Linked DNA regions of Xenopus tropicalis. The protein of the gene in region 1 interacts with the protein of each later gene in a biochemical or structural test. Links are inferred from orthologs where the notes say so. Each region holds a gene or a part of one and is shown in the gene's direction. Other genes may lie near its edges.

What was found.
Region 2: of the proteins of cdk2 (region 1) and npm1, one has a biochemical effect on the other in vitro, tested with the Homo sapiens proteins (2 studies listed by BioGRID). The link is inferred for Xenopus tropicalis from reciprocal best matches to the Homo sapiens genes CDK2 and NPM1.
Region 3: the proteins of cdk2 (region 1) and skp1 are reported together in a solved structure, tested with the Homo sapiens proteins (2 studies listed by BioGRID, with this or other methods). The link is inferred for Xenopus tropicalis from reciprocal best matches to the Homo sapiens genes CDK2 and SKP1.

The regions. Positions count from the first base shown.
Region 1 is NC_030678.2:137,878,077-137,883,458, reverse strand, and holds part of cdk2 (cyclin-dependent kinase 2), read left to right. Parts: intron 1-2,763; coding exon 2,764-2,934; intron 2,935-3,157; coding exon 3,158-3,259; intron 3,260-4,670; coding exon 4,671-4,874; intron 4,875-5,382. UniProt on the Homo sapiens protein: Serine/threonine-protein kinase involved in the control of the cell cycle; essential for meiosis, but dispensable for mitosis. Phosphorylates CABLES1, CTNNB1, CDK2AP2, ERCC6, NBN, USP37, p53/TP53, NPM1, CDK7, RB1, BRCA2, MYC, NPAT, EZH2.
Region 2 is NC_030679.2:20,061,578-20,067,448, forward strand, and holds the start of npm1 (nucleophosmin), read left to right. Parts: upstream 1-1,996; 5' UTR 1,997-2,048; coding exon 2,049-2,109; intron 2,110-5,871. UniProt on the Homo sapiens protein: Involved in diverse cellular processes such as ribosome biogenesis, centrosome duplication, protein chaperoning, histone assembly, cell proliferation, and regulation of tumor suppressors p53/TP53 and ARF.
Region 3 is NC_030679.2:26,566,935-26,572,761, forward strand, and holds skp1 (S-phase kinase-associated protein 1), read left to right. Parts: upstream 1-1,952; 5' UTR 1,953-1,954; coding exon 1,955-2,051; intron 2,052-2,782; coding exon 2,783-2,856; intron 2,857-3,511; coding exon 3,512-3,655; intron 3,656-4,871; coding exon 4,872-5,012; intron 5,013-5,123; coding exon 5,124-5,159; 3' UTR 5,160-5,418; downstream 5,419-5,827. UniProt on the Homo sapiens protein: Essential component of the SCF (SKP1-CUL1-F-box protein) ubiquitin ligase complex, which mediates the ubiquitination of proteins involved in cell cycle progression, signal transduction and transcription.

The DNA.
Region 1 (5,382 bases):
GGAAACAAGTACATTGTCAGTGTATGGCTTCTCTTATACAGTCTGAGCAAATGTTAGGAGATCACTCATTATTATAATGTGACCTGCAGGGCTACACATCACATAAGAAAGGATTGCATAACTAGAATATACTGTAATTATGAAGAGAAGCAGGTTGTCAATAGCCACGTTCCTTGACAGTGTAGTCTTGTAGAAGGCTAAAACTGCTAGCTGAGGCTAGCTAACATCTTTAAGAAAAACAATGGGGTAAATAATTATACTTTCAACTCTTCAAAACATTTAAATTATAAAGGGTTTAATAAACTTTTTGATTCCAGCCTGAGCACTATCTGCAAGGTGTTCTTGCATGTGTGGGTTACCTCCTATACATACCACATACCCAAATTAACTGACTGAGATTTAGATTTGCTTAGACTGATGTGAATGATGCGTAATATGTTGCTCCTATATAATTAAAGGATAGTAGTAATAAAAACTCAAGGACCAATAACACCAGGAAATGTAAAGGTATCATTAAAGCATTAGCAAATAAATCATCAGCAGGTCAGCCAAGCCACTCCTTTCCACTTTTCACCACTTCTCATAATAAGACCTCTTCTTCTGGTACAAACCAGTGTGTATGCTGGTACAACTGTATCAGTTTCCATTAAAAAATAACAAAAAAAAGTGTATAATTTACAGGTTAACATAAAATATGCCTGAATTTGTGTGATTCCACTTCTTTAACAACCTATATGTCTGTAGATACACTAAATTACTATGAGTGTTGGACACATTTTAAGAGCAATAAAAGTGCTTCTGGCAAGAGCTGAGGGTATTTACCATTTATAGTGTACCAGAAACAAATCTGTTAAAGGAGGTACGCTGGTTACTATCTAGAGCAGGCATTTTTTTTTTTTTTTTTTTTTTTTTAAGTAAAGGGGTAGTTCACCTTGTATTTATCTTTTTAGTATGATGTTGGCATTCATATTCTAAGACTACTTTCATTTTTATTTTTAGTGGTTTTTAAATTATTTAGCATTTTTTTCCAGAAGTTCTTCACTGTGGAATGTCAGCAGTTAGTTGGTTGCTATGGTCCAGTTTACATAGCAACCAAATTGGAATATGAATAGGAAAGTGTATGACAAGAAAGATAATAAACATTAACAATTGTAGCCTCACAGAGCAATAGTTTTTTGGCTGATAGACTCAGTGACCCCCATCTGACAGCTAGAAAAAAACTAGAATACAATTCAAAAACTATAAAAATGAAAACCAATTAAAAAGTTTCTAAGCGCAGTGCATTCTATAATATACTTAAATTTAATTTAAATGTGAGCAATAACAATATAGTCAATATTGTACAATCCACAGATTGTAAGACACAGCTACTTGGATGTGCATGGTGGTAGCAAAGAGATTAGATGTTCTTTGTATGTCTTTGATAATTGTATTTTTAAGTTTGTGATTTAAATAAAGCTGGCCATACTTGCTGCAGTAAAAGCTGCTGAATAGGGCACTGCTGGATCCTTTAGGTCAGGGTTCCCCAACCTTTCTCACTCATGAGCCACAGTCAAATGTAAAAAGACTTGGAGAGCAACACAAGCACCATAAAAGTTTATGGAGGTGCTAAAATTGGCTATTAGGGAGCCTCTATGCACACTATCAGCTTACAGGAGGCTTTATTTGGTAGGAAATCTTGTTTTTATTCAACCAAAGCTTGCCCCCAAGTCAGGAATTCAAAAATAACTACCTGGTTTGGGGGCACTGAGTGCAACATCCAAGGGGTTGGGGAGCAACATGTTGCCCTGAGCCACTGGTTGGGGACCACTGCTTTAGGTCCACAGAATGATCTGATATTTGGATCTGCTCTTGGGTGGCAGAGATCCATGTTTAAAAGTATGGCCAGCATTTAAGAGTTTAGTTACTAATGCTGACAGATTTTATGAATTGCAGCGTTTATTGACTTGTAAGAAAAAAAATACAGGTCTATCGATTGCTTGGTAGTCTGAAATCTCAAATAAGGGAACATTTGAATCAAGTTTGCAGTTTCTGGCTATTTCCCCATGTGTGGCGCTCATTTCTCTCAGCTTGATTGCATAGGCAAAGTGGTTTTGCCTCCACCAGGAGTGGGATACATTGTTAAGATTTAGTTAAAGGATTTTTTGCCTGTGAAAGCAATTGGTAGCTAAATATTTCAATAACAATGTGCTCTTTACTCAAATATAAGAATATTGAACTCACTGAAGATTTAACTGTACTAAAGAAACCTGAAGTCACAAAACTGAGGTGGCTTCTAATGTCCATTTTTATTTAAATAGAGGCTACCTTATCCCTAATAAGCTATATCTCATATCCTTTCAGCAGACCTGCCAATTATGTAGGTATATATGCTTAGACTTCATTGTTTCTCATAGATTCTGTGATTTGCAATTAATAATGATCAGATTGCAGCTTAAGGACTTCACGATGAACAAATCCTGTCTGCACAGCTCTTAATTTGTAATTGCTTCCTTTTTTTGTTTTGTATTTGTGCCCTTTGGAGTCTTGATGGAAATATAGTATCTTCAATTTCAGTTTGGAGTATGACATATACATGTTGAAATCAATTTTTATTTCTAAATTTACATGAGCAAAATATTTTAAGGTAAAATTCAAATTTTGAAGTTGACATGATTATTGGCTAGTTCAAAATCTTAATAGCCCTATACTGTTCTACATATGTTGCATATGATGAGCAATACTCTCTATGAATATTTTTTTTTTTTATTCCTCTATCAACAGAGCTATCTGTTCCAGTTGCTCCAAGGTTTGGCTTTCTGCCACTCACATCGTGTCTTACATCGTGACTTAAAACCACAGAACCTGCTTATTAATTCTGAGGGTGCCATCAAACTTGCCGACTTTGGACTAGCTCGGGCATTTGGTGTGCCTGTGAGAACCTATACTCATGAGGTTAGTGTCTAAAGCATCTGGCCTCCCATAGTAGAACGTTTTATTCACTTATTTGAAAGTAAGAGCTCTATTTGTTTAAGGTGTGACTAAACATTTCACACCGCAGTTATCTCAGGTTCCCGTTATATGTTGGATATGATTTATAAACGCAAAAGAAAATGTCTGTATAATTATTATGCATGCAGCTGCAGTTTCAATGATCCATTATTCTTACTCTCTTTAGGTTGTCACCCTGTGGTACAGAGCACCAGAAATTCTTCTTGGCTGCAAGTTCTACTCCACGGCTGTAGATATCTGGAGCCTGGGATGTATATTTGCAGAAATGGTATAAACAGGTTTATACATATTGTTGCATTTCTTCTCAGTAGCTATAAATAGCTGTGTGGTTGATAGTTTTCCAAACAAAAGAAACATTTTTGCAATGCAGTTTTAATGTTTGTATGATACATATGGTTTACACATTTCTGCTTTTGTATTATTCTTGGAGAATATTTTGTCTAATATTTATTATCCTAACTGTGATAATGTATCATTTAGCTGCCCTTTTTGGTGTCTGCTGATTGTGTCTCTGCCTGGAGGAAAAAAATCGGAAATTGTTTAGCAAGAATGCAGGCCTAACATAGCAGAATTTTGTCGCCAAGATGAGAATAATGGCTGTAATGTATTCCACACAGCGTGACTTCAGTGTGGTTGAAATCATAAAAGCTTTGACCCAGTACTTCCTTCCTCTAAAATCTTGGATGTAAGAGGGTCATACTAGGGAGCTTTATGTGTGGTTAGAACTGCTGATAAAGGAATTTGTATCTTGAAGGGATAACTGGGATAATGATGGACTGTGGCTGTAATCTGTGGTGTCATTATAAATTCACTGGCGTGAACCTCGGTCACTGCCTGATTTAGCAATGACCACTTGGTGGTTGTGGTCTAAGGGTTTTACCTTGCAACTGGGCAACAGGCATCTAAATAGCCGAAGGTTATGCTCCACCTCTGTGTTGTAGATCAGCTATTAACCTATAACATTTTTGCTACAAGTCAAATACATTTTGTAATGGAAATTGCCACTCTCTGTGTATATTTCAAAATATAGCTGTTTTTTTCTGGTCATTTTAACTCTTAAATGGGAAAAATATGCAGTGGACCTTTGGATTAACGGCAAGGTCCATAGTGTTGTCCTGTTTAAAGGAGTACTAAACCCTAAAGATATGGTTGGAAAGCTGTATTTTATATACTGAACTTACTACCCCAGCCTGAAGGTTCAGCAACCCCTATAACAGTATTAATCCAGATCTTTGAAGCTCTCATAAGAGCTCACCATCTTGTATTCTGTTAGGAGTGTCAGTGACATGCACATTCTCAGACGTGTCTGACTAGCTGTTGAGAACTTAGGGGGTCGTCTCAAATTATTTCTGAACTGCAATGTAAAAGAAATCAGAATTAATTACTAAATTATCCTTGTTTCTGGTTTCATAGAGCCAGATGTTCCTTGTTAAAGGGCTGTGTTGGCCTTTGGTTCGTACAGAACCCCTAAACATAATGTGCAGCATTTTCATTCTTTAGTACTACTTTAAATGTAGTTAAATTAGATTTTAAAAAGTGCAGCTATATCTATAGCTACTTTAATTTTGTTTCTTCAACATAAATCTTTCAACTACATTTAAAGTAGTACTAAACTAACTATAACACTCCTTTTTTAATCTAGTCTGAACTTAAATGCATTTGTTTATCCCTTATGCTAGATCACTAGGAGAGCACTTTTTCCTGGAGATTCTGAAATTGATCAGCTCTTTCGCATCTTTCGAACACTGGGGACCCCTGATGAAGTGTCCTGGCCAGGAGTGACAACTATGCCAGATTACAAGTCAACCTTTCCTAAGTGGGTCCGACAGGACTTTAGCAAAGTGGTGCCACCTTTGGATGATGATGGTAGAGACCTTTTAGCTGTAAGTGTGTGTTTGGATGTATTTCTAACAGGGATCTTATTATATCAGGCTTTTTTTTTTTTTTGTAAAATTTGTATAAATTAAGCCCTGGCAAGGGAACATGTACTGTTCTCATTAGGATACCCCAACCCCTTTACTGACTAATAGTGGATGTATGAGTTTTTTATATGTATCTTTTAACCAGTACCACCTAAGTCTACACATGCACCTTTCATGATAATCCAATGAAGATTAATATGATAGATAGTGAATGGGTTTGATATAATAAGGTAATTAAAGGGGATGTTCACCTTTAGGGCTGACAGACGGCGACTAATCTCCCCGAAATGCCATCCTACCGGCGAGAACGTAAATCGCCGGTGGGATGGCATACACCGGCACAGTGATTTGCCAAAGTCGCGGAAGTTTCCTATCAAGGCAACTTCCACGACTTCGGCAAATCGCCACGCCGCGTATGCCATCCCACCTGCGATTTGTCCATAAAAGCAAATTGTCAATATTTATTAGA
Region 2 (5,871 bases), on another chromosome or scaffold:
ATGTTGTGGTTAATAAACAGTTGTTTGCAGCAAAGTACTGCGGTGGCTTGTGCTCGTCTCACTTCAGTAAAGATTCCACAATACTGTAATTTGTGCCACTATGGCTTTATGAGCAATAGATCTTGGCAGACTAATTTAACTTTCTTCTATGAGGAACCTAGACTCTCGGATGGCAGTAGATTTACTTAGACTTTGCTAAAGCATTTTATACAGTACTACACAGAAGGATACTCCTTAAATTAAGGAATATTGACCTAGAACATAAAATTTGCATTTGGATAGAGAACTGGCTGAAGGATAGATTACAAAGAGCGGTGGTAAATGGAGCAGTCTCTAATTAGACCAGTGTCAGTGGAGTACCGCAGGGGTCAGTCCTTAGCCCTTTGCTTTTTAACTTGTTTATTAATGACCTGGAGGTGGGCATAGACAGTACTGTCTCTATCTTTGCTGACGACACTAAATTGTGCAAAGCTATAAATTCCATGCAGGATGCTGCCGCTTTGCAGAGCGATTTGACTAATCTGGAAAACTAAGCCTGTGTGCACATCCTGTGCCTGGGCCCAGACAGGGCTGATACATTACTGGATAGCAAGCGGTGTAATTCCTGGCAATGTCATTCTGTGGCTACTAAAGCAAATAAAGTGCTGTCTTGTATAAAAAAGGGCATTGACTCAAGGGATGAGAACATAATTTTGCCTCTTTATAGGTCCCTGGTAAGGCCTCACCTTGAGTATGCAGTGCAGTTTTGGGCTCCAGTCCTTAAGAAGGATATTAATGAGCTGGAGAGAGTGCAGAGACTGCAACTAAACTGGTAAAGGAGATGGAAGATTTTATATTCTAAAGTATATTAATGTGTGTGCTGTATCGCACTTTAAATAGGGGTACAATCTCTCATATAAATGCAGCTTGTTTAGGAGAGATCATCTGAAAATACAGAGGTTTCCTGAACCCCTATGTGGCTCCCAATAAAAGGGCTAACAGATCTTTCTTAAACCCCAATGAAAGGGCTAACATGTTTCCTGAATGGAAATAAAAAGGCTAAAGGTGGCCATACACAGGAAGATCCGCTCGCTTGGCGATGTCGTCAAGCGAGCGGATCTTCACCCGATATCCCCACCTACGGGTGGCGATATCGGGGAGGCATGTAGGTGAGGGCCAAATGATCGAATTCTGCACGCGGCAATGGGGCATACGGTTCGGGGACCGCATCAACGAGCCGATGCGGTCCCCGAACCGACGGGATTTTCTAACCTGGCCGACCGATATCTGGCCAATTTCAGGCCAGATATTGGTCGGCCAGTCCGCTCGTTTCTGCCCCTACACGGGCCGATAAGCTGACGAGTCGGTCCAAGGGACCGATATCGGCAGCTTCTATCGGCCCATGTATGGGGACCTTAAGGTCCCTATGTATATGAACATTTTTAATTGACATTAAATAATTTGATTGGCATTAAATACACCTTTCAGATCCATTTTTTTCTTTTTAAAACCATTCCACATTTATTTTGCTAGGCTGAAATTAGTGTAAAAAGTAAAAGTGGCCTATAATCAAAGCCACACCCATAGCAGAAAAGGCACTGCCTCAGACTAGTATCTCACTTTCCATATTATATCAAAAGCAGTTTAAAACCAGTAAACATGTCTAAAGCCCGCATATGAGAACGTTACTAAAATTAATTATTACATTAATTATACACAAAAAGAGTTCAGGGATAGAGATCCCCTTTAACAATCTCTGCTATGGACACAGGCCTACACAACGTGAACTCCTTGCCATTATCTTACAAACAAGCACATGGTGGGTCACGTTAAATTCCTATAAACCCACAGCTCGTTTTGCGCAATCACATACCTCACAGCAGAACGTGTTTAGCCAATCGTAAACTGCGTTACTTGTTTGAGGGAAAATAGCCCCGCCTTTCTATGGCGTGAAATCTCGCGAGAAAAAGGCCCGTACATATAGAGACACGTTGCGCGCCATTAGTTCTCAGAATCCGTCCGTGCCGCTGTAGAGTAGAGGGGGTACATCTGAATTGAATTGGAACAAAATGGAAGACTCCATGGATATGGATAGCATTGCTCCCCTGCGCCCTCAGAATTTTCTCTTTGGTATGTATACAGTACCAGGGGTTTTGAAACTCGGCCACGGGTTTTTTTTGGGAAATATTATATAGACGTCACACGTTCCGCTGACTTGTTCATGGCTCCCCGGTGTCCTGCTTTTAACGGGACAGCCCAGTTTTGCGTCACTCAGCCCGCTGTCCCGGGCTTTTGTTGGAATGTCCCCGCTCCTTCCTCACGGTTAGACTGCTCCTGGGCGCAGGAGCCGAAAGCATGGATTCATTGCTGCTGCCCTTTGCCTTTCTATGGCTCCCCTCCTGCTACCACTACCACATTATGTGGAATATAGATTCCTTCTCCCTCCCCCAGGTACAAGCTGCACCAAATGAATGCTCTTTAACTGCTTCCGCCTCCATCTCTCCTTCATATTACCTCCCTACCCAGAGTTATCCTAAACTTTGAAGCCAATATTGCTCCAGTTTATCATCTATAATACCACCTATATCTATAATACCACCTGCAGGTTCTGTTAGCTACAACTCCCTGCACCCATCAATATCTAACATACATTGTACAGCTCCTATTTAGCTACAACTCCCTGTAACATGTGCCATTGTTTCAATATCTCCACGTGTAAATAGCCATGTGCCTATCAGCTGGAGCTGCCATTCTTACCTCTGCACTTATCATCAGGAAGGAAGAGTTAAATATATATAGATATATATAAAATAGTCTAGATAGATATATCTATCTATCTAATCAAATAGTTAAGAATTTTAAAACTAATTTCCTTTTTCTCTGTAATAAAATAGTACCTTGTAATTGATCCCAAGATATAATTAATCCTTATTGAATGCAAAACAATCCTATTGGGTTTAATTAATGTTTTGTTGATTTTTTTAGTGTATTTAACGTATGGAGATCTAAATTACAGAAAGACCCCTTATCCAGAATACCCTTGGTCCTGAGCATTCTGGATAACAGGAGATAGATAGATATAGGTAGATATATTCTCGATAGATAGATAGATAGATAGATACAGAGATATATCTCAGGTTCTCTATAGAGAACCTATCTCTGTATCTATCTATAGAGAATATATCTACCTATATCTATCTCCTGTTATCCAGAATGCTCAGGACCAAGGGTATTCTGGATAAGGGGTCTTTCTGTAATTTAGATCTCCGTACCTTAAATCCACTAAAAAAATCAATAAAACATTAATTAAACCCAATAGGATTGTTTTGAATTCAATAAGGATTAATTATATTTTGGGAACAATTACAAGGTACTGTTTTATTACAGAGAGAAAGGAAATCTGTTTTAAAATTCTGAACTTTGATTAAAATGGAGTCTATTGGAGACAGGCTTTCTGTAATTTGGAGCTTTCTGGATAACAGGTTTCCGGATAAGGGATCCCGTACATGTGTTTCAAAATAAATAAAAAAAAAATACACACAAGTGCCATAAATATCCCATAAAAGATATCTTTATAAATGGTGCCTGTTCATGTAATTTGTCACATGACTTGCATAAACTTGTGTATTGTAATAAAGTACCCACTGTTGTAAAATGAGGATATTCGAAGTCACCTTGGAGTTGGGCTATGGAATGTCTGATTTATAACACATGTAACACTTTTTTTGGCTGTAACCCAGCCAACTATGTAGAAGGGACCAAACCGAGCTATGGTGTAGTGCAACTACAACCCACTGTAGCTGTGTGCAGTTCAGAATAACAAATGAGAGCCAGAAGGTTCTTGCAGTTGAACAATAGAATCAGTTTATTGTTAGAGATATGCATGGTTATATATCAATATGCAGGGTAAGTGTAATATACTCACAGCAGTTTAGCATAGCATTTCTCTGCAGACAGCACAGAGGGTGCACATCCATTCCTCACAACTCCTCTTGAGTCTGGCCAGGGTCCGTGCCACTGGTTCAGTTTATCCACCCTTTGGAACAGTCAGATTGGATACCACACTCCTCAGGTTGAACACCTCTAGCCCTCAGGCTCCCACAGCAACTCTGGATAAGGGTTCTGATACTGCCTGCCTTCTATGTCTAAGGGCTCTGGCACACTGGGAGAGCCCTTAACCGTGGCCCTACGCTAAGGCAACAGTGCCTGTCTGGAAGTGTACTTCCAAAACTACTTTATTTGGTGGAGCCAAACTGCCCTTGCTTCCTTCCCTCACTATCTCGCTTTCCTAGAAAGTGCTCAACACAACATGCTATCTAACTGGTCCTCATTCACAGGGTCCCTGTCACTGACTTCTCTAGAGTCGATGCAGACTCTACGGTAATCACTTTACTGGGTCCCTGTTGATCCCAGGCTCAGTGGAACTTCCACCTGGGTCAGCAGATGGAGCCAAAGAGAAAGCCACACCCCCCTGCTAAGCACTATATCAGTGTGCCAAGGGAGTGGTCTCCCTGGTAACCAATAAGGCACATATGCAAAACTCTAAACTGATACATGGGTCTTTGCCCAGTAACTGCACAAGCCAAGGAAGCTGCAGGGTTTAAAGCCATAGGGGCATGTTAACCCTATAGGTCCCTACATGTATTTTTTTTTTTTTTTTTTTACAGTAGAGGGGACTTTAATCACTATTTGACGATGCATGGAGGTACAAAGGGCAATGCATTGTAAAAGTGAGTTCTTCAATAGGTAGAAAGATGTACATATAAAGCAGTTAGCCCATGCAAGAGGTAGAGGGCTCTGTCTGAAAGAGCTTACAATCTAAGGTAAAATATGTGGCATAGAGCATGGAATTTAATAGAACATTTCTTTAGAAAAGCTTGAGAGTTCTTTTAAAGGCAGGAAGACTGGGAGACAGTTGGACATCATGTGGGAGTAAATTCCAGAGAAGAGGGTGCAGCCCTAGTAAAGTCTCATTTGTGAGGAGATAATGAATGAGGTGTTGCATTGATCAATAGAGCGTAACAAGCAGTTTGAGGAGTTCAGAGATGTAGAGCGGGGCACAGTTTTGAAATGCTGCATGTTGGTGCTTCTTTAGGCAAAATGGTGATATGGGATAAACACACAGTGGCATGGATTTTTGTATGTTCTTCCTGTGTCCACATGGGTATCTTTCCTGTCTTATAGAAACATACAGGTGGATTAATTGGTCATATGTATATAATAAACACTATTGTGATAGGGACAGACTAAGCAGTACTAGTGCAGGGACTGATGTGAATGGTGTGTAATTTCTAAGAGCATTAAAATATATTGGCACTATATAAGTGTTTTAATAATCTAGTATAAGTGTCTCCATAGACAAAGGGATGCTTTAAGCGCTATTTCATAATGAGCTTAATTAGGTCTTGATCTGAATACTTTTCTTTTAATAAAGAAATCCGTTTTGTTATTTTCAGCAATAAATACACTTAATCCAGTTTCACTTTAGTACTTCCTGTCAGTTCTGGTTCTGACAAGCAGATGGACTGATATATTTACCAGTCCACTGAGAAGCCCTCTGATGAACTGCTCAAAGAGTGTACTTTAAGGGCTCTGGCACACGGGGAGATTAGTCGCCCGTGACAAATCTCCCGTGTCTCAGGCGACTAATCTCCCCGGATTGCCATCCCACCGGCGAAAATGTAAATCGCTGGTGGGATGGCATAAGCGGCGGCGCGATTTCAGTGAGATCGCAAGTTTCCTCTCAAGGCAACTTGCGCGATCTCGCTGAAATCGCGCCGCCGCGTGTGCCATCTCACTGGCGACTTACACTTTTGCCGATGGGGTGGCAGGTGATTGCAACTCGGGGAGAATAGTCGCCTGAGACACGGGAGATTTGTCACGGGCGACTAA
Region 3 (5,827 bases), on another chromosome or scaffold:
AGAGAGAGATACAGAGAGAGAGAGAGATAGATATAGGTATAGATATAGGACATTAAGACATTCTGTGCATTAAGCTACTAAGAAATGACCTCCCCTTTTAGCAATATACTGAAAGCTGGCCAACTATGCCAAATTTAATTCCCGTACTGACTTTTATATTATTTATTAAGTATTTTACTGCTTCATTATACATTAGTACGCAGGGACTGATTTTTACCTGCAGTTTACTTCCTTTTAGTGCAAAAAAATTGTTGCACTTTTTATTGGCCACCATTGAGATCAACAGACTGTAGCTGGGAATGGTGAAGGCTACAATATGTAGAGTGCCTGAAAAAGTATATGAAAAACTTTTCAGTCAACTATTGTCTTAACACCTGCTGACCCAGCCCATCCATACCCAAACAAAATTAGATATATATTCGGCAGGGTTGAAAATCCTACATGGCAAAGACTGCATTGTCACTTTGATGCCATTCTCGTCTGACAAGTCCATGTAGGCTGGACCCACTCCTTATAAACCATTATATTTGTTATAATAAATTAAACAGTATATTTGTTTACCTGGGCACAGTGGACTCTCACATGGAACTTGTAGGGGATCAGTCACCGTTTTGAAATATCCACTATTATAGAGCAAAAGGAAATTGGTCAAACAATAATAAAATGGCATTTCCAAAAGCTTTCTTGATAATGAGTCTCCTTAATCTAGATCCCATACCTGTAAGATTAAAAATGTGCTTAACTACACAATTAAGATTTCAAGTACACTCTGTCCCCTCTAAGATATTTAATAACCAGTCCTCTTTTTAACAGAATATGGTAATTCCTATTGCCTTGTGCTGTTAGTCACTCTGCTCTGTATGTTGCTGTCTAGGCCAAACTTCTGTTATTTTAATTCATAAAGCCTTTGTTTAAAATGAGGCTGAGTGAAAAGCATGGCTCAGGGATAGCAAATGTCCTCTCTGTAATTGGCTGTATGTCAACTATTGATGTACAGATTCTTTTTCTGGGCAGGATGGGCAAATGGCCTCTAATGCAGATTTGGAGCTTGGCAATTGCCATTATCCTGGCTGCTATTGGCAAAGTCATACTGCAGCAGTAAAATGACACCCTTTGTTGGTAATTACTTTGTTCTGCTTCCATAGTTATACCTGCTCAGTAAGTCTTTCCCACATCATATATGCCAGAGACACTTTCCCTTTGTGTACTGCGTGCACACTAATGGTGGCCAGTGTTAACAAGGGTTCATCCATCTCCAGCTGTCCAGCCATTTGCAGTCGGCTGTTAAAGGAGCAGTGCCAGGTTGACAGCTGTTAGAATTTAGTGCATTTTCCCAATTCCTGCACAGCTCTCTGAAAATTGCAGAGTACCGGTAATTGCACATTCCGGATGAGACCCAAAGCTTTTAGCTCCTTATTCTCTTCCTGGTAGTGGAGGGCAGGGTGCTGGCAACAGTTGGCAGGCCCCTTCTTATTCCTACTAGCTGCAGCTTCTTCCCTTTGCTCATTAGGCCGTGCCAGACCACTGTATATTGCACAGTTGGTGTGGGTCTTGGGCAGAGACTGAAGCAACCAGGCACCAGGGCTGTTGTATAGATGATTATTTTTATTGGCCCTGCCTTACTGACAACCAGGGCATGAAACATGATGTTTGCATTTCATTAAAGCAGAAGGAAAGGTATAGTCACTGGGGGGGTGGTTGCCATGTTAGCCACTCTGTGATTCTACTTGCCTACAATGGCCTGCAGTGCACTTGCTGTGCTTGCTGCCATTTTGTTCCCATGTCTCTCCTGCTCACCATGCTTAAATGTGCTTCAGTGCAGCATCTTGAGTTTCACAGCTGCCTTCCTGATCATCTCTCATTGAAAGTACCAATTGATTTTCTTTCTGTTTTGCTTGCAGTAACTTCACTAAGCAGTACTGTTTGTGTTGATTAATGTGTTTTTGTTTTTCAGATGCCTTCTATAAAGCTGCAGAGTTCTGATGGAGAGATTTTTGAAGTGGATGTTGAAATTGCAAAGCAGTCAGTAACAATTAAAACTATGTTGGAAGGTACTTTTTAAAAAAAAATTCTTTGAATATGTATTCTTTATAATTTTGTCCTCTGGTGTGCAGGTCTTCATTTGTTTTTATTCTCCTAGCTTTGAAAGTGTTGGTGTAAAGGCACATTGGGCAATTGAGTGGATTCTCTCCAAAAGCAATCCCTTTACAGAAACAATATTGCTGGGAATTTTTCTTCTATGTAGCATTTGCATGACCTTTGAGTGCACCTGGGTGAACAGACATTTGCAATTGAAATGTCAGGGGTAATTCCAATCATTTTGTCATCCACTTTCAAATTGGGAAATTTCTTGGGTTTGTGGAGGATTATCTTTTTAGGTAGTAGCTCCTTTTACACTGATAAGAGACAGGTACACAGGGTACTTTAGAAAACATTGTTTGTACAATCCAGGATTTGGAAATGATGGAATAAGGGCTTTTTATTAAAAAAAAAAAAAGTTTTGGTGCTGTTCACTACATAACAGGTACACAGCGTTTCAAACTACTCATAACAGCAGTGATCCCAATATAACAAATAAGTAGCAGTCTTGCTGAAAAAAAATTGTCCTCAGAGGAACTGGTTGTAATATTTCTGTTGTGTTTAAATTTATTTTGTGTAAATTCTTGAGAAATCTCTTATTTGACTATAGTTTTAGAACATTGCCTTTCTGTCTAAATTATCTTGGGTTTTTTTTTACATTTTTTTGGCAAGACACAGTTATCAATTAAATGTTTTTAAACAGATCTGGGTATGGATGATGAAGGTGATGATGACCCTGTGCCACTTCCCAATGTTAATGCTGCAATCCTTAAAAAAGTAAGTGCTATTTAGGTAGTGGTTTTACGTATACCCATACTAGAATACTGGATGCAGATTAGAGATTGTTTTTTTTTTTTTTAGAGGTGTTGGTTTGCTGCAGGGATATAATGCAATGTAATTAGGACAAAAAAATTGTACCAGATTCAGAATTGTGTTAATTAAAAAGTTGCAACAGCCTCCCCCCCCCCTACACACACACACACACACACATTATTTATATTTGCTTATCACTGCCAGAAGAAGAACTACTTATAAATGCCAGGGTTTTAAGGCATATTGGCAAGTAAAAAAATAAAACTGAACTATTGGTTATTAGGAACTTCATCCTGCTGTTTGGGGTTTCATATTCTTGAGTTATGATGTATACTGTTTCAGACCTAGAAACACTTGCTCTCTAATTCAGGCAGTAGAGGACATTGCTCCTATTTTTGGTTTAGCTCTTCAAGTGTAGGTTGTTACAAGATTTACTTTTTTTTTTTTTTTTTTTTTTACTAGCTTGAATTATATTAACATATAAACAACAAAATGATGAAATTGAACATATCTTAAGTTTAGCAGTACCACATTGTCTTGGATTCAGGACCTGGCCAACAAATGCAGTCAGTTGTATAAATCATAAAGATAAATACCTATGTACTTTTATTTTCATCAGGTCATTCAGTGGTGTACACATCATAAAGATGATCCCCCTCCACCCGAAGACGATGAAAACAAAGAGAAGAGAACAGATGATATCCCTGTGTGGGACCAAGAGTTTTTAAAAGTGGATCAGGGAACACTATTTGAACTGATTTTGGTGAGGCATGCTCACCAAAAAACCCAACAGCTTTTATAGAACCCATTAGAATTACATAAGTGTATTTCTAGTACTTGTACTTAGTAGTATTAATAACCTTAAAGGGAACCTGCAACTTAAAGTACCACACAGTCTGAAGGTATTGCACACACAACACAGCCTGAAGGTAGTGCACACACAACACAGCCAGTAATTATTTGTGTTTTTGTCCGAAAGAGGTAGGAGAGTTGATATTTAAAAACCTTGCCATTAACATGTTCCAACAAAGTGTGCTTGTTCTCCTGCACTTGAGAGGTAAGGGTGAGCCCACATATATGAAACGTTGTGCATAATTTTGTCCTTAGTGGCTTCAATAAAGGCATCCACATGGCATCTGCATGTTGCTTCTGAGCAATATAGTTTTAACACACATAATTTTATTCATACATTAAAACGTGGCTGCCATTTTACTTGTTAACACATAACACAACAGTTACTAGAAATTTATACACTAATTCATAAAAGATTTTTAAAAATTTACATACACATGTCCATATATTCCTCAGTCAGCATAGATTTAACTTCCAAACTGAAAATGGCTGAAACTATTTTTTTTTTTTTCATCTCAATCCTATATACATAAATTACACTTGCATATTCATATGTAGTGCTTATACGCCACTTAAAGCACGTATGATAACTTTTCCTCATAAAATACCCTTCATTAATTTAGAGCGAGTCCAAAAAGAGCTACTATTTCATTAATATCCATTTAAGGATTTGAGACCAATACTGCACTGCATATTCTAGATGGGGCCTTTGCCAGTGTTTTCTAAAGTGGGAATATGTACTTCCCCTCTGAGTCTGTATACCTTGCTGGCTCTTCCTTCCGCTGACTGGCATTGCTTGCTAAAGCTAAGTTTATTTTCCACAAGTCACCCCAGCTCCTTGCATATTTTGGAATGCCACTTAGCAGGCCAGTCTCCCAGTTTGTCCAGTTCCTCCTAAAGGATGCTACATTCTTGGTGGCACTGATTGAGCTGCATAACTTTTGTGTCATTGTCATAAACATATATTGCTTCTAAGCCAATTCATAAGCTTTTCTGCAGTCTATTGGTACCATATCAAATACAAGGGAGTGTGAGCAAATCAGGGGTGGGTTTGAGTTCTTGCTGGTCAAAAAAAAATTGGGGGCTGGTTTGATTTTGCTTTTTTTTTTTTTTTTTTTTATCTTCAGGCTGCCAACTATTTGGATATCAAAGGATTGCTTGATGTCACCTGCAAGACAGTTGCAAACATGATTAAAGGAAAAACGCCAGAAGAAATTCGAAAGACCTTCAACATCAAAAACGACTTTACTGAGGAGGAAGAAGCTCAGGTATATATTTATACGCTTAAGTTTATTTCCTTTTACAAGTGTGTCAGCCAATATCTCCACTCCAACAAGAGTATTTATTAATGAACCTCTTTTATGCTATTTTCCTTTTAGGTACGCAAAGAGAATCAGTGGTGTGAAGAAAAGTGAAGTTGCATACCTGTTACCACTGTAACACTGTACAAGTCGTTCCAAATCAACTAGTTGCACTGCTCTGTTTATACTAGACAATTCAGCAGCTTAAATTAGCAGGAGGATGTTTTGCTGCATGTGTTGTGTCTGACATTTTTTTTTTTTTTTCTTATTGAGTAATTCAGATCTTCAAGCCGTGTTTTAACCATTGTAATCTTGTGTGATATTTCCTTTAAAACAATAATAAACCTGTTAGCTGCGTGCTTTGAAGATGAAAGATGGCATCACAGTAGTCTACTCCTGTTCTTGCAGAACTGTGTTTTGACAGAACTTTACATTTCCTAGATTTTGGCTTCTCTGACAAGGCAACTTCAGCAGCAAATCACAATGTGTGCTGTTTTGTGTGTATGGCAAAATAATCTGCCTGGAACATGTATGTGACAGACTCTTCTCTGTTTAGTGTAATTGGCCACTCAGGCAGTTATGAGGTTGTGAATTTTTGTTTTTATATAAAGTTCACCTTCTATGCATACAGACACTGATTTCATACTTTAACGAACGTGTCTCAAGTTCATGTGCGAGTATTTATCTTGTGTGGTGTCCCAGCTCTGAATGTCACAGGGAGACTTTAGTGGTTTACCTTTCCCTCTAAAAGCTTAGAGAGGTAGCATGATTTACATTTCCTT